3 linked regions of the Drosophila melanogaster genome follow. The protein of the gene in region 1 interacts with the protein of each later gene in a pairwise test. Each region holds a gene or a part of one and is shown in the gene's direction. Other genes may lie near its edges.

What was found. Proteins that work in one complex are often made in the same cells at the same time.
Region 2: the proteins of CG13022 (region 1) and SP1029 interact in a two-hybrid assay, tested with the Drosophila melanogaster proteins (one large-scale study listed by BioGRID).
Region 3: the proteins of CG13022 (region 1) and CG10395 interact in a two-hybrid assay, tested with the Drosophila melanogaster proteins (one large-scale study listed by BioGRID).

What each region holds. Positions count from the first base shown.
Region 1 is NT_037436.4:16,937,694-16,940,828, reverse strand, and holds CG13022 (uncharacterized protein), read left to right. Parts: upstream 1-1,876; 5' UTR 1,877-1,886; coding exon 1,887-2,483; 3' UTR 2,484-2,499; downstream 2,500-3,135. Other genes in the region: Cpr73D (cuticular protein 73D), read left to right, coding at 12-193, 246-1,591.
Region 2 is NT_033777.3:29,244,419-29,252,514, reverse strand, and holds SP1029 (SP1029), read left to right. Parts: upstream 1-2,063; 5' UTR 2,064-2,153; exon of another isoform or gene 2,154-2,325; intron 2,326-3,010; 5' UTR 3,011-3,305; intron 3,306-3,610; exon of another isoform or gene 3,611-3,832; intron 3,833-4,100; 5' UTR 4,101-4,108; coding exon 4,109-4,593; intron 4,594-4,656; coding exon 4,657-4,812; intron 4,813-4,873; coding exon 4,874-5,731; intron 5,732-5,790; coding exon 5,791-6,340; intron 6,341-6,611; coding exon 6,612-7,132; intron 7,133-7,196; coding exon 7,197-7,425; 3' UTR 7,426-7,554; downstream 7,555-8,096.
Region 3 is NT_033778.4:5,348,431-5,352,514, forward strand, and holds CG10395 (uncharacterized protein), read left to right. Parts: upstream 1-2,046; 5' UTR 2,047-2,378; coding exon 2,379-2,391; intron 2,392-2,449; coding exon 2,450-3,282; 3' UTR 3,283-3,290; downstream 3,291-4,084. Other genes in the region: IFT20 (intraflagellar transport 20), read right to left, coding at 3,291-3,686.

The sequences.
Region 1 (3,135 bases):
TTCCCACATAGATTTCGCGTGAACGGACCGAAAATCCATCGGAAAATGGACCTGGCTCAGTATCCGGTACTGCCGCGGGGAAGTCCGGACGATCCGCTGGCCGATCCCTTCGACGATCCATCCTACAGCTTTAGTTTTCGCACTCCGGATCAGTCGCGCAGCGAGGAGAATGATTCCGGGAATAGGATAAGAGGCGAGTTTAGCGAGTATGGTACTTAAGAGTATATTAACTGATTCTATCCCAGGTCTGTACTCCTATTTGGACGACGTGGGCGAGCGGCACAGTGTTCGTTATGCAGCTGGAGCCGGAACCGGATTCGAGATCTCCAACGCTGTGCCGGACAGCCCATCTGTTGTGGCGTACTCCAGTCCTCTGTACACGTCCCATCCCAAAGCACGCGGCAAGATGTCTGTGCAAAGGGGGCCGGCTGGAAGCTATAAGCTGATCGCCTCAGGTTCGGATCACCGACGGGCAGAAAGTCGAGCACCCGATGGCCTGGTGCGAGGAACCTACTCCTTCCTGGACGACAAGGGCGTGCAGCGGACAGTGGAGTATATAGCTGGAGCAGGAATTGGCTACCGGGTGGTGCAAAATCGGATTGGTCCTGGAACCCATAACAATCCCTCTGTGGCTGATTTTCGTTTGACAGATCCAGATTTCCGACTGGCTAATGATTTTGGCAGGGGTGCTGGTGGTGGCTTAGGTCCGAAGGGAGGTGGTGGTGGATCAGGTGGGGGAAGTGTTTCGGTAGGAGCTTCGGGGCCAAGTGGTGGTGCAGGTGGAGCGGGAAGGGGCCGTACTCCAAGCAGACCCGGAGGCAAAGATTACCTAAAGCCGGCTGATGGAGCAAGAGATAGGAATCGTGGAGATGGTGATGCTGGGGCAGCTGATGAAAATCTGGGACACCATGCTGATGACCAAGGGGATGACATTGGGCTTGGCAGCAGCTCCTCTGGTTCCACCAACTTTAATGGCAAAGAAGACAGAAGAGGGTTCCCTGCGGGTAGTCCGCAACGGGGCAGTACTAGATACGATGCCGGAGGTGACAGCTCTCAGAGAGGTGGTTCAGGTAGCTCCACGAGAAACAATGTTAGTGGGTCCCGAAACAGAAACCGATTCGGCGGCGTTGGTGGAGTAAGTGTCTCCTCTGAGCGGGGAGCAGGAAGGGGAGGTGCTGCCGGTGGTGGAAGCAGTCGTCGAGGAGGTGGAGCTGGAGCCTCCAGGGAAGGCGACTCCGGCCTGGGCTACCTGCCGCCCACAGGTGGATCGGGCACCAGTGCCATGAGCGGACCCGGGGACAATTACCACCTCAACGATGACGATGTGGGCAGTTCACTGCCTCCTCTGGTCACCGCCAACCACCGAATTCTAGAGATCGACAGGGATCGGGAGTGGGTGCAGCGACACCGCGACTCCACCGTCATCAAGAACGTGGGTAAATGGTACGTGGGCCTGCCGCCTGGTCAAAGTGTGCGTGCCCATGTCCAGAACATCGACATAATACCCTTGGGCGGAAGGATCGGACTTTCGCCGTCGGAGGCACTGCGTCAGGATGAGATCGCCGAGCTGAATGCCTCAAGGGAGCACTAAGCACCCATTGGATCTGTAGATCTGTAGTTTGTAGTGCGTAGCTCTAAGTGATCAGTGTTGAGTAACCGAAACTGGGTTGACTCCACATGGAAACTAAAACAGTATTTAAAGCGGAATACATTTTTTGCCTGTATCTGTATCTCAAACTGTATCTGTATCTCTAGCGAATAGTTATTTGATATCCGTGGATCCGGGTATAAGCAGGTTAATCTGCACATTGCGGTTTCCTTGAATCCACATATAACCCCATGACTTAGCATGCTCGGAGTTTAGTTGTTTCTGAGACTTGAACATGATGTTGGTGCTTTTCATTGCTTCGCTGATAGTTTCCTGTGCTCAAGGAGCGCAAGTGTATATGCAGTTCAATGGACAAGGATACTCCTACAACACGGATGGCGATAGATTGGATAGGAGTGTCGTTAAGCCTAGTTTTGGGGCATCTTCTCTGGATTCCTTTGGTCCGCTGAACTTTGTGCATCAATCTCTGAGGACAAGACAGAATCCACTTTCCCGGATTTCCTACAATACACAGGATAACCTAGCAGTGGCAACATCTTCGCTGAGTGCGGGCTACCAATTAGCATCGACCAACCACCTGAAGCACCGGCAAAGCCAGCAAAACTTTGATTTCAGCACCGACCAGATGTCGCATGCCCAGCACACCGATGAGGCGGGAAATGTTTTGGGCAAGTACTCCTACTACGATGAGGCTGGCTACCATGAGCTGAGCTACAAGGCGGGCGCCGGCATCGGATTCGTGGTCATGGGTGGCAATTTGGCCAAGGCCACCACCGCCGCTGAACCGCACTCGGAAATCGAAATCGGAAACGGAATCCAAACAAATGCCTTGACTAGCCTGCAAGAGTTGCATAAATATCGTGGCTACACGTAAATAAAATATATTAGCCAAAACTATTGCTCGTTCTACTTGGGTGTTTTGCGTTATTTACTGGAAGTCTTTGGAGATCTGACAGTGTCACCTGTCGTGTTTGAGACCTACGTGATCGGGGATCTGAACTGTAAACATATGTCAAAGAATGAATGACTTGTAAAACAGAGTTCATTCAAAGAAAAGAGTGCAGCTTTGCTTGGTTATAGAATGCAAGCAATAGTCAAATATTATCGAGAGCTCTGGATTTCATAACTTCTACGCGGCACAAAATTATCTTTGGATCGGAAGACATTATATTAACATTTATAAATAATGGTGAAATTAAAAAAAAAATGTACGTAAAAATAGATGTCCAAAAATGTATGAATTCTTTTTGTAATTGTAAATCTTGGAATATAATATTATGCTAAATAGGACGGTAGAAAGAATATTTTTCTTCATTTTAAAAAGAAACATAACTTGAGTTCCATAAAAGCGGTCATCGCATTAATAGAAAATTTTCTTGCCTGGACATAATTTTTAAACGTTTTACAATAAAAATGTTTGCATAAAGTAGATAAGGGTAAACATTGTCAGTTTCTGATCGTAAATGATTGTAAGAGCTTTAATTGCTTGTGGCGCGTGCTTTGGCACGATACAACTGCGGCGATTT
Region 2 (8,096 bases), on another chromosome or scaffold:
GTATAGGGGTATTTATTTCATGCTGCTTTTAAGTTGATTTTTGTTGATTTTCATTTGTTAATCCGTAGACTAAGTTTCTCGCACACGACGCAGACACACACCCGACACTCGCATTCATGCAAAACAGACAATTTCATTTGGAATTTAACGCTTTTGTTTAGTTATTATTGTTTTTATGGTTTCGGCTTTAGTTCAATTATTTAAGCACTCTAGTTCAAATTTTAAAGATAACCAACGAACAAGCAAACGAAAAATGTGCATTATAATCTAAAAACGTGAGGAACCATGTCATTTAAATTTAAGAGGCCGATCCCGAAATCAGACCCCTTAATCATTTGTAGATGATAAGCAGAACAAAAAATGGCTAAAAACAAAAAAAAAAAAAGAAAACAAATATCACACAAAAACAAACACGCTCATTAATTTCATCCATAAAACTTTATTTATAAGATCTATCGTTTAAGAGTTGAAAGTTGTAAACTTCTGCTAGGTACAATTTACGCTTATTATTTGTTTATTTTTATGTAATCCGTAACCGAACAACAAGGCACCGAAACGCAAATGCAAACAAGAAAACAAATATTTTACCATGTAATGATTATTATTTAAGCAAAGCTTATTTTTGCATCAAAAAAGGCAATATTATTGAACAAAGACCATCAATTTTAAATATACATTAATACACGACGAAAAAGAACTGAAATTCCTGGAATTTTTATCATTCAAATGGCGCCAAATGCGCATTATGTGCGGGATTTCGGTACTCTATGGGTTTTCACAGAATTAACAACTTGAAATTGGCGCGCAAAGCGAGTAGTTGCACTTTGTAAATGTCAGAGGGCGCTGTGTCCGTAAAAAATTGAGTATAACAGCGGCGACTTTTTGGCAGACTGTTATACGAAAATTTGTATGTCACTTTATATTTCTTTAAATTAGAGATGGACACGTGATGCTTTTTTTTTTAAACCCACGCATACGATATACAAATACTCTTTTAAATTTGTTAACTTGTTCTATAAATTGAAGGCAAAGCCTAACACTTTCCGAAAATCGGCTTATGATAATCGAATTTCAGTAAATAAAGCAGATTATTTTCGTTTATAGCTTATGTTCCAATTCCCTTTCACACCCATTTCAATTTCTCCTTAAAACTATCAAATCTTTAATCCTCAAAAAAAGTGTGGATGAAAGCCAAACGAGGTTTGTGGCAATTAGCCAAAGGCAGGGCCCTAGCCGCAGTAATATTTCGAGTTACATGCCATTTTCCATGCCAAATTAACCCTCTGAAGACTGGCATGTAGTAAATATAATAAATTATAATTAGCAATTCAAATAATCAAAGTTAATTCGAACCAACAAGTAAATGTATAAATAAAACATTCAAAATTTGATAAATACTTTAATCGGTGACCTAGATATGAGGCTTTCCCCAAAGGGTTAACCCGCTAAAGCCCCTCCTGTGAGCCCGCATGCTGCGTTTGTCTGTCCGTCTGCACTTGGTTTATTATGGTTTGTTTTTTGCCACTTTTTGTGGCCCCTTATCTTCGGCGCTTCCGCCACGGGGGGTGGTCCAAAAGTAGGGGGTGTTTCAGGTTGAGTGACTGGGTGAACTCTAGGGTCGAGTGGCTCAAGTGCCCAGTGGCATACGAAATAGAAAGAAATGGGTTAATCAGCGCAATTAGGGTCAAAAACACGTAGTGACATCGCTGCGTATGTGTGCAGCGTGAATCAAAATTGCGCATACGCCGGGTAAGCCCTGCCATTATTTCATTGCAATCGCCCGCTGTGCGTTTCGTGTGGGTCACACATGTGCTGTTTTTTTCTTCCTTTTTTATTGTTTTTTTTACCTCCTTTGCTTGGCTGTTCAACTACATTGCATGCTCTACGATAGAACTAGCATACTGAATCTGCGATTCTCTGCGCCGACGCAAAGCAGCGTTTCAATCTCTAAGCCGTCGACGTTTCACTGGCTCTCCATTTCTCGGCTTTCGGCTTTTCCATCTGTATGGGTGAGCGGTGTAACCACGGGCTATCGTATAAGATAAAAGCGCCGTGCTCAGTAAACTTTAGATTCGCGTCGACCGTCGAACAGGTCGCACTCCTGCGTGTGTTTTTTTCGCTTTTCTGTGGCTGTGACTGAGGCTCTGGCAACGGTTGGTCCCAACAATCTTTGTGTGTCAAGCACCTCGAGAGTGCAGCTTGAACGGAATTGAATCGCAAAAAAAAAAAAAAAAGAAAAGAACGCCAGATTTGACCCCGAAATCACGAGACAAGTACAACTACGCACTCGAAACAAGTGCCGAAAAAAGGAATAGAGTGACACAAGTGTGTTAAGAACACAAACCAAAAGAATATATGTACATACATATACCCAAAGCCAAGAAAAAACAAGTTTAAGTGCTGAACTGTGCACCATAAATAATGTGTTGTCAAAAATAATTCCATTACGTCTTCTTAGTGAATATTTTTTATATTAAAACTGTCCTCTGTTAAGACAAAAGTCCGCAAATCCAGGAAGAAATTATAAATTAGAAAGAAATTATCAATTAGAAAGAAATTATCAATTAGAAAGAAATTATCAATGTGCATATTAAGAAGTTTTTTGAACTCATTGTATTAAATTATAATTACCTTTAAAATACCTTTCACATGTATTAGCACTTCAAAGCACTTTTACTTGCTTTATTGACTTTGAAATTATTCAATGTTCTGGAAGCTAGTTTCTTGACCGCTGCTGTACTTACTCCCAGTTAACTCGAAGGGATCAATTGATGGGTCAATGTCACAGCAGCACGTGTTTGAAATTTTTTGAGAAATCACAACAAGTTAACAATTGTATTTAATTCAATTTCAAGCGGGCAGTTTTATTGTCTTTCGATTCGGGAATTTATTTTCACGTTTTCTTCCTGTATTTCCTGTATTTAATTAAAACACTAAAACAATGAATTCAATGAACTTTTATTGATCAGAACTATTTATTGATACTTACCTGATCAAAAACATATATTAGATTATACTTTCTCTATGCGGACCCAATCTACATTTGGTTATCATATGATAATCTGCAAAGTTCATTGACCCGCATTTACATTTATTTATATGCAACCAAAGAACCCAGAAAGCCAAACCAAGAGAACAACTTTTGCATAATTAAGAGTGAAGCTGAAAGAAGTCCAGAAAAATAAAAACCAGCAGCAGGGATTGCAATCTGGTTAATCCAGTACAGTACAAGAACCTTTGCAGGTTTCCTTCTTAGCTCCCTTGGGATATTCCGTATGGAATAGATACCCAGTTACTACGTCAAGGTATTCAAGTGTTAAAGTGTGCGTGCTTACTTAACAAAATAGTTAAACGTTGTACAAAAAGTTCAAAAGCCGAAGTGAAGGCGTGGGAATATAGTTGATGAGTATAATAAACTAACTTTGAAGGCAACCAAGATTTATAGATGTTTTTTAGGCATAGTATTAAAAAGTAAACTTATATTTATGATATACAACTATAGATATTAAAACAAACAGACCAGTTTCTCTTAGTTCCCATGTGCAGTTAACGGCAGAATATTTATTCTTTACTCGATCAGCTGATCAACTACAAATATTCCGATTTCATTTGGTACCCCTGGCAAGGGCCATAGTTAATCAACTACATATATATAGTATGTACATTTATCAGGTAGCCAGCGCATAATGCCAATTGTGAGGAGAGTTTCAATCGGGTTTCATTGGCCCAGACCTTAATACGTGCCCGGCATAACGATCCTAACATAATAAATAAAACAATTTGCATTAATTTGAAGTAAATCAGCGAAACCGCATAGGCAGCAAAAAGCGCGGTGCGAATTATACAGTGGACATCAGTCAACCATTGTGTTTTGTTCAAAAAAAAATAATTGTTTATCATTAACTGGGCGAGAGAAAGCGAAGCCCAAGTTTTGAATAAATTGTATTCAAATTGATTACACTTTAAGTAGAATTATCCGAGTTTTCTGTTAGTGGATACCCACTGTTTATGATTTGGCAAAGTGATTTGGTTAATTGCTTTAGTTTGCTCTGATTGAGCGCCCCGCTAATAAGTGATTCGCCTTCCGCTCTTCCCCACAGTTTTGGTAATGAAGTGGTTTCTGCTGTTCGTGGCGGCCCTTGGCCTGGGATTAGCCACCGCCGACTCATCCGCCGACTCCATCGAGACCACCTACAACTACTACCGCCTGCCCACATCGCTGCGCCCGCAGAAGTACCATCTCCGCATTCTGACACTGCTGGAGAATCCGGAGGACCTGCGTTTTTCCGGTTCCGTAAAGATCCTGATCGAAGCCCTGGAAAACACCAAGAACGTAACGCTGCACTCCAAGAATCTGACCATCGATGAGTCCCAGATCACCCTGCGCCAGATCGGCGGAGAGGGCAAGAAGGAGAACTGCGTGTCCTCCACGGCGGTGAATCCATCCCATGACTTCTACATCCTCAACACCTGCCAGGAACTTTTGGCCGGCAACACCTACGAGTTGTACATGCCCTTCGCCGCCGACCTGAACCGACAACTTGAGGGCTATTACCGCAGCTCCTACAAGGATCCCGTGGCCAATCTTACCAAGTGCGTTTGCAGACTTTTATGAAGACATAGAGCCAGGTATTGATGGGTTATTTCCTATTGCAGATGGATCTCGGTTACCCAGTTTGAACCGGCATCGGCTCGATTGGCCTTCCCCTGCTTTGATGAGCCCGATTTCAAGGCTCCTTTCGTGGTTACCCTTGGATATCATAAGAAGTATACGGCTATAAGCAACATGCCCGAGAAGGAAACCAAGCCACAGTTAGTCATCACATAACATTCAGAACTTTCCACAGAGACTTCATTAACTTTATTCTTCCAGTGAAACCCTCGCCGACTACATATGGTGCGAGTTCCAGGAGTCGGTGCCCATGTCCACCTACCTGGTTGCCTACTCCGTGAACGATTTCTCGCACAAGCCCTCCACCCTGCCAAATAGCGCTCTATTCCGAACTTGGGCCAGACCCAATGCCATCGATCAGTGCGACTATGCCGCTCAGTTCGGACCCAAAGTGTTGCAATACTATGAGCAGTTCTTCGGCATCAAGTTCCCGCTACCCAAGATCGATCAGATTGCAGTGCCCGATTTCAGTGCCGGCGCCATGGAGAACTGGGGTCTGGTGACCTACAGGGAGATTGCCCTGCTCTACTCGGCGGCACACTCCTCGCTGGCGGATAAGCAACGAGTGGCCAGCGTGGTGGCTCATGAGTTGGCGCACCAGTGGTTTGGTAACCTGGTCACCATGAAGTGGTGGACCGACCTGTGGCTGAACGAGGGATTCGCCACCTATGTGGCCAGTTTGGGTGTGGAGAATATCAATCCGGAATGGCGTTCCATGGAGCAGGAGTCGCTGTCCAATCTGCTGACCATTTTCCGCAGAGACGCCCTGGAGAGCAGCCATCCCATCTCGAGACCCATCCAAATGGTGTCGGAGATCTCGGAGAGCTTCGATCAGATCTCATACCAGAAGGGCTCCACGGTGCTGCGCATGATGCACTTGTTCCTGGGCGAGGAGTCCTTCCGCTCCGGTCTGCAGGCCTATCTGCAGAAGTTCTCCTACAAGAATGCTGAGCAGGACAATCTCTGGGAGTCGCTCACCCAGGCAGCTCACAAGTATCGATCTCTGCCCAAGAGCTATGACATCAAGAGCATCATGGACTCATGGACCCTGCAAACTGGGTAGGTCCTTGCAGGATAAGCTTGTTAAGAATGACCACTAAATATCCTTTCTCTGACAGCTACCCTGTGATCAACGTGACGCGAGACTACGCTGCCAGGACGGCCAAGCTCAACCAGGAGCGCTATCTCCTGAACACCCAGGTAGCCCGAGCTTATCGCGGCGGTTGCTGGTGGGTGCCACTGAGTTACACCACACAGGCGGTGCAGGACTTCAACAACACGGCACCCAAGGCCTGGATGGAGTGCGGCAAGAATGGCGAGAGCCTGCCCAAGACCATTCAGGACCTGCCAGGACCCGATCAGTGGGTGATCTTTAACACGCAGCTCTCGACGCTGTACAAGGTCAACTACGATGCCCAGAACTGGAAGCTTCTTATTGAGACCTTGACCAATGGAGATTTCGAACGCATTCACGTGATCAACCGAGCTCAGCTGATCGACGATGCCCTATATCTGGCCTGGACCGGCGAACAGGACTACGAGATCGCCATGAGACTGATCGAGTATCTGCAGCGGGAGCGGGAGTATTTGCCCTGGAAGTCGGCCTTCGAGAATCTGAAGCGTGTGGGCCGCATTGTCCGCCAGACACCCGATTTCGAGTTCTTCAAGGTGGGTTCTGGTCTCTTAAAGTATCCTAATGCTCTTCTACCACGTGCTCCCCGTATAATCTCATTCTCATTTGTATTTCGAAACAATCCTTTCAAAATTGCTCACACCTAACTTCATCTATACACCTAACTTGTCATGGGCAACCCACCGACAGTTGTTCTTTGTCGTAAGTCTGACTAGATAGCACTAGATATTTTATAATTTGACAAATGCCGGGTATATGAACTTTTATTAAAGTCCTTTTAAATGAATTTATTCATCCTCAATGCAGCGCTACATGAAGAAGCTGATTCTGCCGATCTACGAGCACCTGAATGGCATCAACGACACATTCAGCGCGATTCCGCAGCAGGATCAGGTGCTGCTGAAGACAATGGTGGTCAACTGGGCGTGTCAGTACCAGGTGGGCGATTGTGTGCCCCAGGCCCTGGCCTACTACCGCAACTGGCGAGCGGAGGCTAATCCCGACGAGAAGAATCCGGTTCCGATCAACGTTCGTAGCACTGTGTACTGCACCTCCATAAAGCACGGATCCGATTCGGATTGGGAATTCCTGTGGACGCGTTACAAGAAGTCGAATGTGGCGGCTGAGAAGCGCACCATTCTGACTGCTTTGGGTTGTTCGAGGGAAGTGTGGCTGCTGCAGCGTTATCTGGAGCTGACCTTTGACCCCAAGGAGGCCATTCGCAAGCAGGACTCGATGTGGGCCTTCCAAGCGGTGGCCTTCAATGAGGTGGGCTTCCTGCTGGCCAAAAAGTATTTCATGGACAACGTCGACTTCATCTACAAGTTGTAAGTTTTCGCATCTGTGATGGATAGAACCTCGGCTAAGGGTTTCTGTTTTTTTTTTTTTTAGCTACCATCCGCTCACCAAGGACATGTCCCGCCTACTCTCACCGCTTTCCGAGCAGGTCATCACGCTGAGCGACTTCAACGAGTTCAAGGACTTCGTGAACAACTCCCGTCAGTCGCTGAAGGGATTGGAACAGGCCATCCAACAGACACTGGAGATCATGCTCACCAATGTTCAGTGGAAGGAGCGAAACTACCATCAGATGTCCCGCTCCATCCAGCAACTGCTCTAGATTACCCAGCTCCCAGTCCAGCCTCTCATCAGCTCACTAAGAGAAGCAACTCTTGATTTCAGCAGGAATGTTATGAATGTTTAAAGTCGCTTAAATAAACTATTTAATACTCTAGTATTCGTGTATCTCAAGATGAAAGTCTTTTCATTTCTGAATTGGAAGTGGATATATAAAGAATGGGAGGTGAAAGACCTTTTAAATTATTTCCTAATAGCAAGTAGTAATGGTTAAATTCACTTTCTGCGGCTAATATAGCGTAAAATCAAGCTATTAAGATTGAAGACTAACATAGTATGCATTGTAATGAATTTCATACAAAATATATATATTTTTTAATTTTAAATACCAGACCGGATTCTTTCTTATACATCTCGAAAAAGACATTTTAAAATAATTGCAATATTAACTATATACTGCGAGTAATGGGATGTAAAATAACGTATACGCCGGGTAAGCCGCACTCTGTTTTGCAGCTGATAATAATATGATACTCTGAGCTGCTAATTTTCCAAATTAGTCTCGCTTTTCGACCTCTCTGAAAATATTGCTCTCTGAAAATCAGAAACTCAGTTCGATCGTAGAACTAGACGCATTCGGTCACCATCCTCTGGTGAGATCAGTAGTGCCACTAGTTGCTATCGGTTAGTTTTTTCTAAGCAAACCAATTTGTT
Region 3 (4,084 bases), on another chromosome or scaffold:
ATTATTAAGAACAGCTATAATACTATAAAATTTCAAGCAATGGATGCTCTACTTTTTTTTTCGTACGGGTCCCACGGCCACACCTCCCACCCAACCGGCTCGATTCACGAGAAGATAGATGCGATATAAAAAAAAAACAGAAACGAGGCAATGAATATAATGCAAAACAACAGTACCACTTCAACCTCCGAAGAGATAAGTCGTGCCACCCAGTTTAAAGCCCGGCTTCGCGTAAGCCCAAAACCCTTATCAGCAAAATCTTGATAAACAAATATCAACCACAAAGAGAAAATAAAATAAAACCAACAACAATACCGCCAACCCGGGCTCAAGCTCTTAACCAACAATCATGACAGACCCACCAAACATTTACAAAATTACTTCAAAAACATACCATCGCAATTAGGTGAACCTAAATTTATAATTATCAAAAGGAAAGACAACAACTCTTTCGAAAGAATTTCACCATTCATCATAAAGAAATCGGTGGACTTTGCCTGTGGAGGAGAAGTCGAGGGATGCAAACGAACAAGAGACGGCAACCTAAGACCGTCTATAATATTTTAAATCGTGCGGAAAAAGAGGGCAGGCTTGAACCTAAGAGTGGTAATGGGCGGAAAACCAAAATTAACAAGCGAGTAGACTGCCTTAAAAGTGATTGCGAACCCCCGAATCTCGGTCAGATCACTTGCTCAGGATATCAGGGAAGAATATCACCTAACTGTGTCACACGAAACTGTGCACCACGTTATCCTACTACCATAGGTACTCTTCAAGAGTTGCAAGAAAAATGCCTTTGCTATCAGAGGTCAATATTGAAAAGCGTCATTCAGCATGATAGATCATGCGGAAGAGTACTGGGATGACGTCATATTTTGTGACGAAACAAATATGATGCTCTTTTATAACGACGGGCCAAGCAGAGTATGGCGCAAACCGTTGAGTGCGCTAGAAAAACAAAATATCATACCAACAATCAAATTTGGAAAATTGTCAGTGATTATTTGGGGCTGTATTTCCAGCCATGGAGTGGGCAAATTAGCCTTTATTGAAAGCACTATGAATGCCGTGCAATATCTAGATATTTTAGAAACAAATTTGAAGGCCAGTGCAGAAAAATGTGGTCTATTTAGCAACAACAAGCCAAATTTTAAGTTTTATCACGACAATGATCCCAAACATAAAGAGTACAATGTACGCAACTGGCTACTTTATAACTGTGGCAAGGTGATCGATACGCCCCCTCAGAGTCCTGATCTGAACCCCATTGAAAATTTGTGGACCTACTTAAAGAAGAAGGTGGCAAAAAGGTGCCCCAAAACACGGCAACATCTCATTGCTGCGATAGTCGAAGAGTGGGAAAAGATCCCGCTTGAATATGACCTAAAAAAACTCATCCATTCCATGAAAAAAAGGCTTCAACTTGTAGCCAAAGCCAATGGGGGTCATACTAAATACTAAAAATTTTCAAATATTAACAAAATAATTAAAAAATTTATGATTAAACTTAGGTTTAGTGTTTTGTGTAAATAGTTTCTTTACACTCTCAAAAGTGTGTAAACTTGAAATTTGTTGTTTATTTTCTTGTATATTTGATATTTTGAATTTGTTTTTTAATTTATAAGTAAAATAAATATTGTTTAATTATATTTCATAAAAAAATTGCGTTTAATTAAACAAATAACCCTTAATTTTGACCTTTAAAGTTAAAAATTCAACTTATTTCACGGTGTGTAAACAGTTTCTTGACAAACAGTATATATATAGTATAGTATAGTATATATATATATAAAGTTTAGTAAAATAATCGAACATATCGATTGTAATGACACTAACATAAAAAACATTAAACATTACCCGACCAAAAATTCAAATAATTTGTAATTTTATTAAACTTTATCCATTATTCATTTATCAACTTATGCGCTTTTCATGCAGAATTTGAATTCGCGTGCATAAGTGCACATAGATTGGAGTCTCGACATCAGGAACGATATTTAGTTACTATTCAGTTTCATCGGTTATCGGTTCAACACAACCGCTAACCATGGTTTTGCTATGTATTCTGTGAATTGCTTAAATGCATTTAGGAAGGGGAATACAAAAATATATTGTGCACAATTCAAATTTTTTTTAGTATTATTATTATAATTATTATTATTATAATTATAATCATTATAAGTTTAAAATCATTATACTATGTGGCCAGAGAGATTGCACGATTTTCCCAGCCGTTTAATAAGGATGTCATTTGTGGAATTAGGCTATAAGCATCGTAGTGGATGTATGACCAATGCAATTTTTGGACATTTGAAAAAATTAAGCATAACAAACAAAAATATTGGCCGCTGCTACAGGACGAGTGTATTTCAATTGAAATGGTGAAAGAAGGTAATTTATATCAATCACCAAACGTTACATCTTAAAAAGTAACATTTTTTATTCATAGGTTCTAAGGATGCAGAGTACTTATCTGCTGAGTCTATTTCAAATTCGTTGAGACCTAAAGAACTTCATTACACTACAGATGCGCTTGCATCTAATTCAAATATTCATGAACATCCTCTTAGACGCACGAGAAATATTAGCACAAAAAAATTGGCACATGATGACAGTTTGCCTCACACGGGTGCTAAAAAAGGTAAAAGACGACGCAACAGTGATACGTCCAGTGAAGAGGATCGGTGGCTTACCGCCATAGAAACCGGGAAACTAGACGTTGTTGATGAGGAACTTAAAAAGATAAAGGACCCCAAACTTATGACAGCACGTCAACGTGCTATTTATGAACGGACACAGGACTCCGAAATAAATGGATTTATAGAAGAGCTAATTGCTCTTCCAAGTGGTTATAAAGAAAAGGAAAAGCCGCAGACTGCGGAGGAAATTCATAAAGCTCTTCTGAAATCTCAAAAACGAAAACAACAAGCTGACGAACGCAGAGAAAAAGATAAATTAAAGACAATGGAGCGGTTGTTAAAAAAACAGGCAACCAACAGGGATCGGATTTCAATTCGCAATAAGTCTTTACAACAGCCCTCTTATCCAAAAATAACCTATATAAGTGCTGTAACTGGCAACTATGTAATAGTTCCCCCAGGTTACGAATATCCTTTAAAAGTTCAACTCCCTCGTACACCTCCTCCTTCACAGGTGTGCTTTGTAAGCGGTTGTGAAAATCGCAAGACATATAATTGTTCAACAACAAATGTTCCATTATGTAGTCTTACATGTTATCGTAAGAATATCAACAAAATAAGAAAAACGTCTACAAATACGTAGATTTAATTTTAATATTGATTGACAAAAAAATTGTTTATTATTTCATGTTGCTCCGTTTCAATTCGCTGTAAAAACTGCAATTCGCCTTTTAAGCGTTCAAGTTCTACTGTTTGCTCAAATATCTCATATTGATAGACTTGCTGCTTGTTCTGGCGCTGAATAAATGCCGTTTTTAATTGATTTTGAGTACCAATAGCGCGTAGTTTTTCCTTATCGACATCTTTGGCAAACGTTTCAGAAATATTACAATAATTAAACACAAACTTTTTAAAAATAGTGAATGCTTTAATGTAGTTGAAGCATTCTTGTTTAAACATTATTTTGCTACTGGAAAGGTTTGGATGCTCAACTCGCACCGTGTAAATTTCATCTATAAACACACCAACTTTTTGAAGTTCTTCCATCTTATTGCGATTGTAACAAAGTAATACTTTCTTACTATGCGTTGCGTTGCTATTGACAACTGAACGAGTCGTAAACAAATAAGAGCTACGCGTTTGTATATAAATGCATTGAGGCTTTAGTATTTTTCTTTTGGAAATTATATTAGCTTTCAGTATTTGAATTATTTGAAATGCAAATAATAACCCTTTTTTAATAACCCGTTACTCGTAGAGTATAAGGGCATACTAGATTCGTTAAAAAGTAACAGGCAGTGGGGGGGAGCGTTTCTGACCATATAAAGTATTTATATTCTTGATCAGGATCAATAGCCGAGTCGATCTGGCCATGTCCGTCTGTCCGTATGAACGTCAAGATTCAGGAACTATAAAATTATATTTTACATTAATTTTTTTATAAT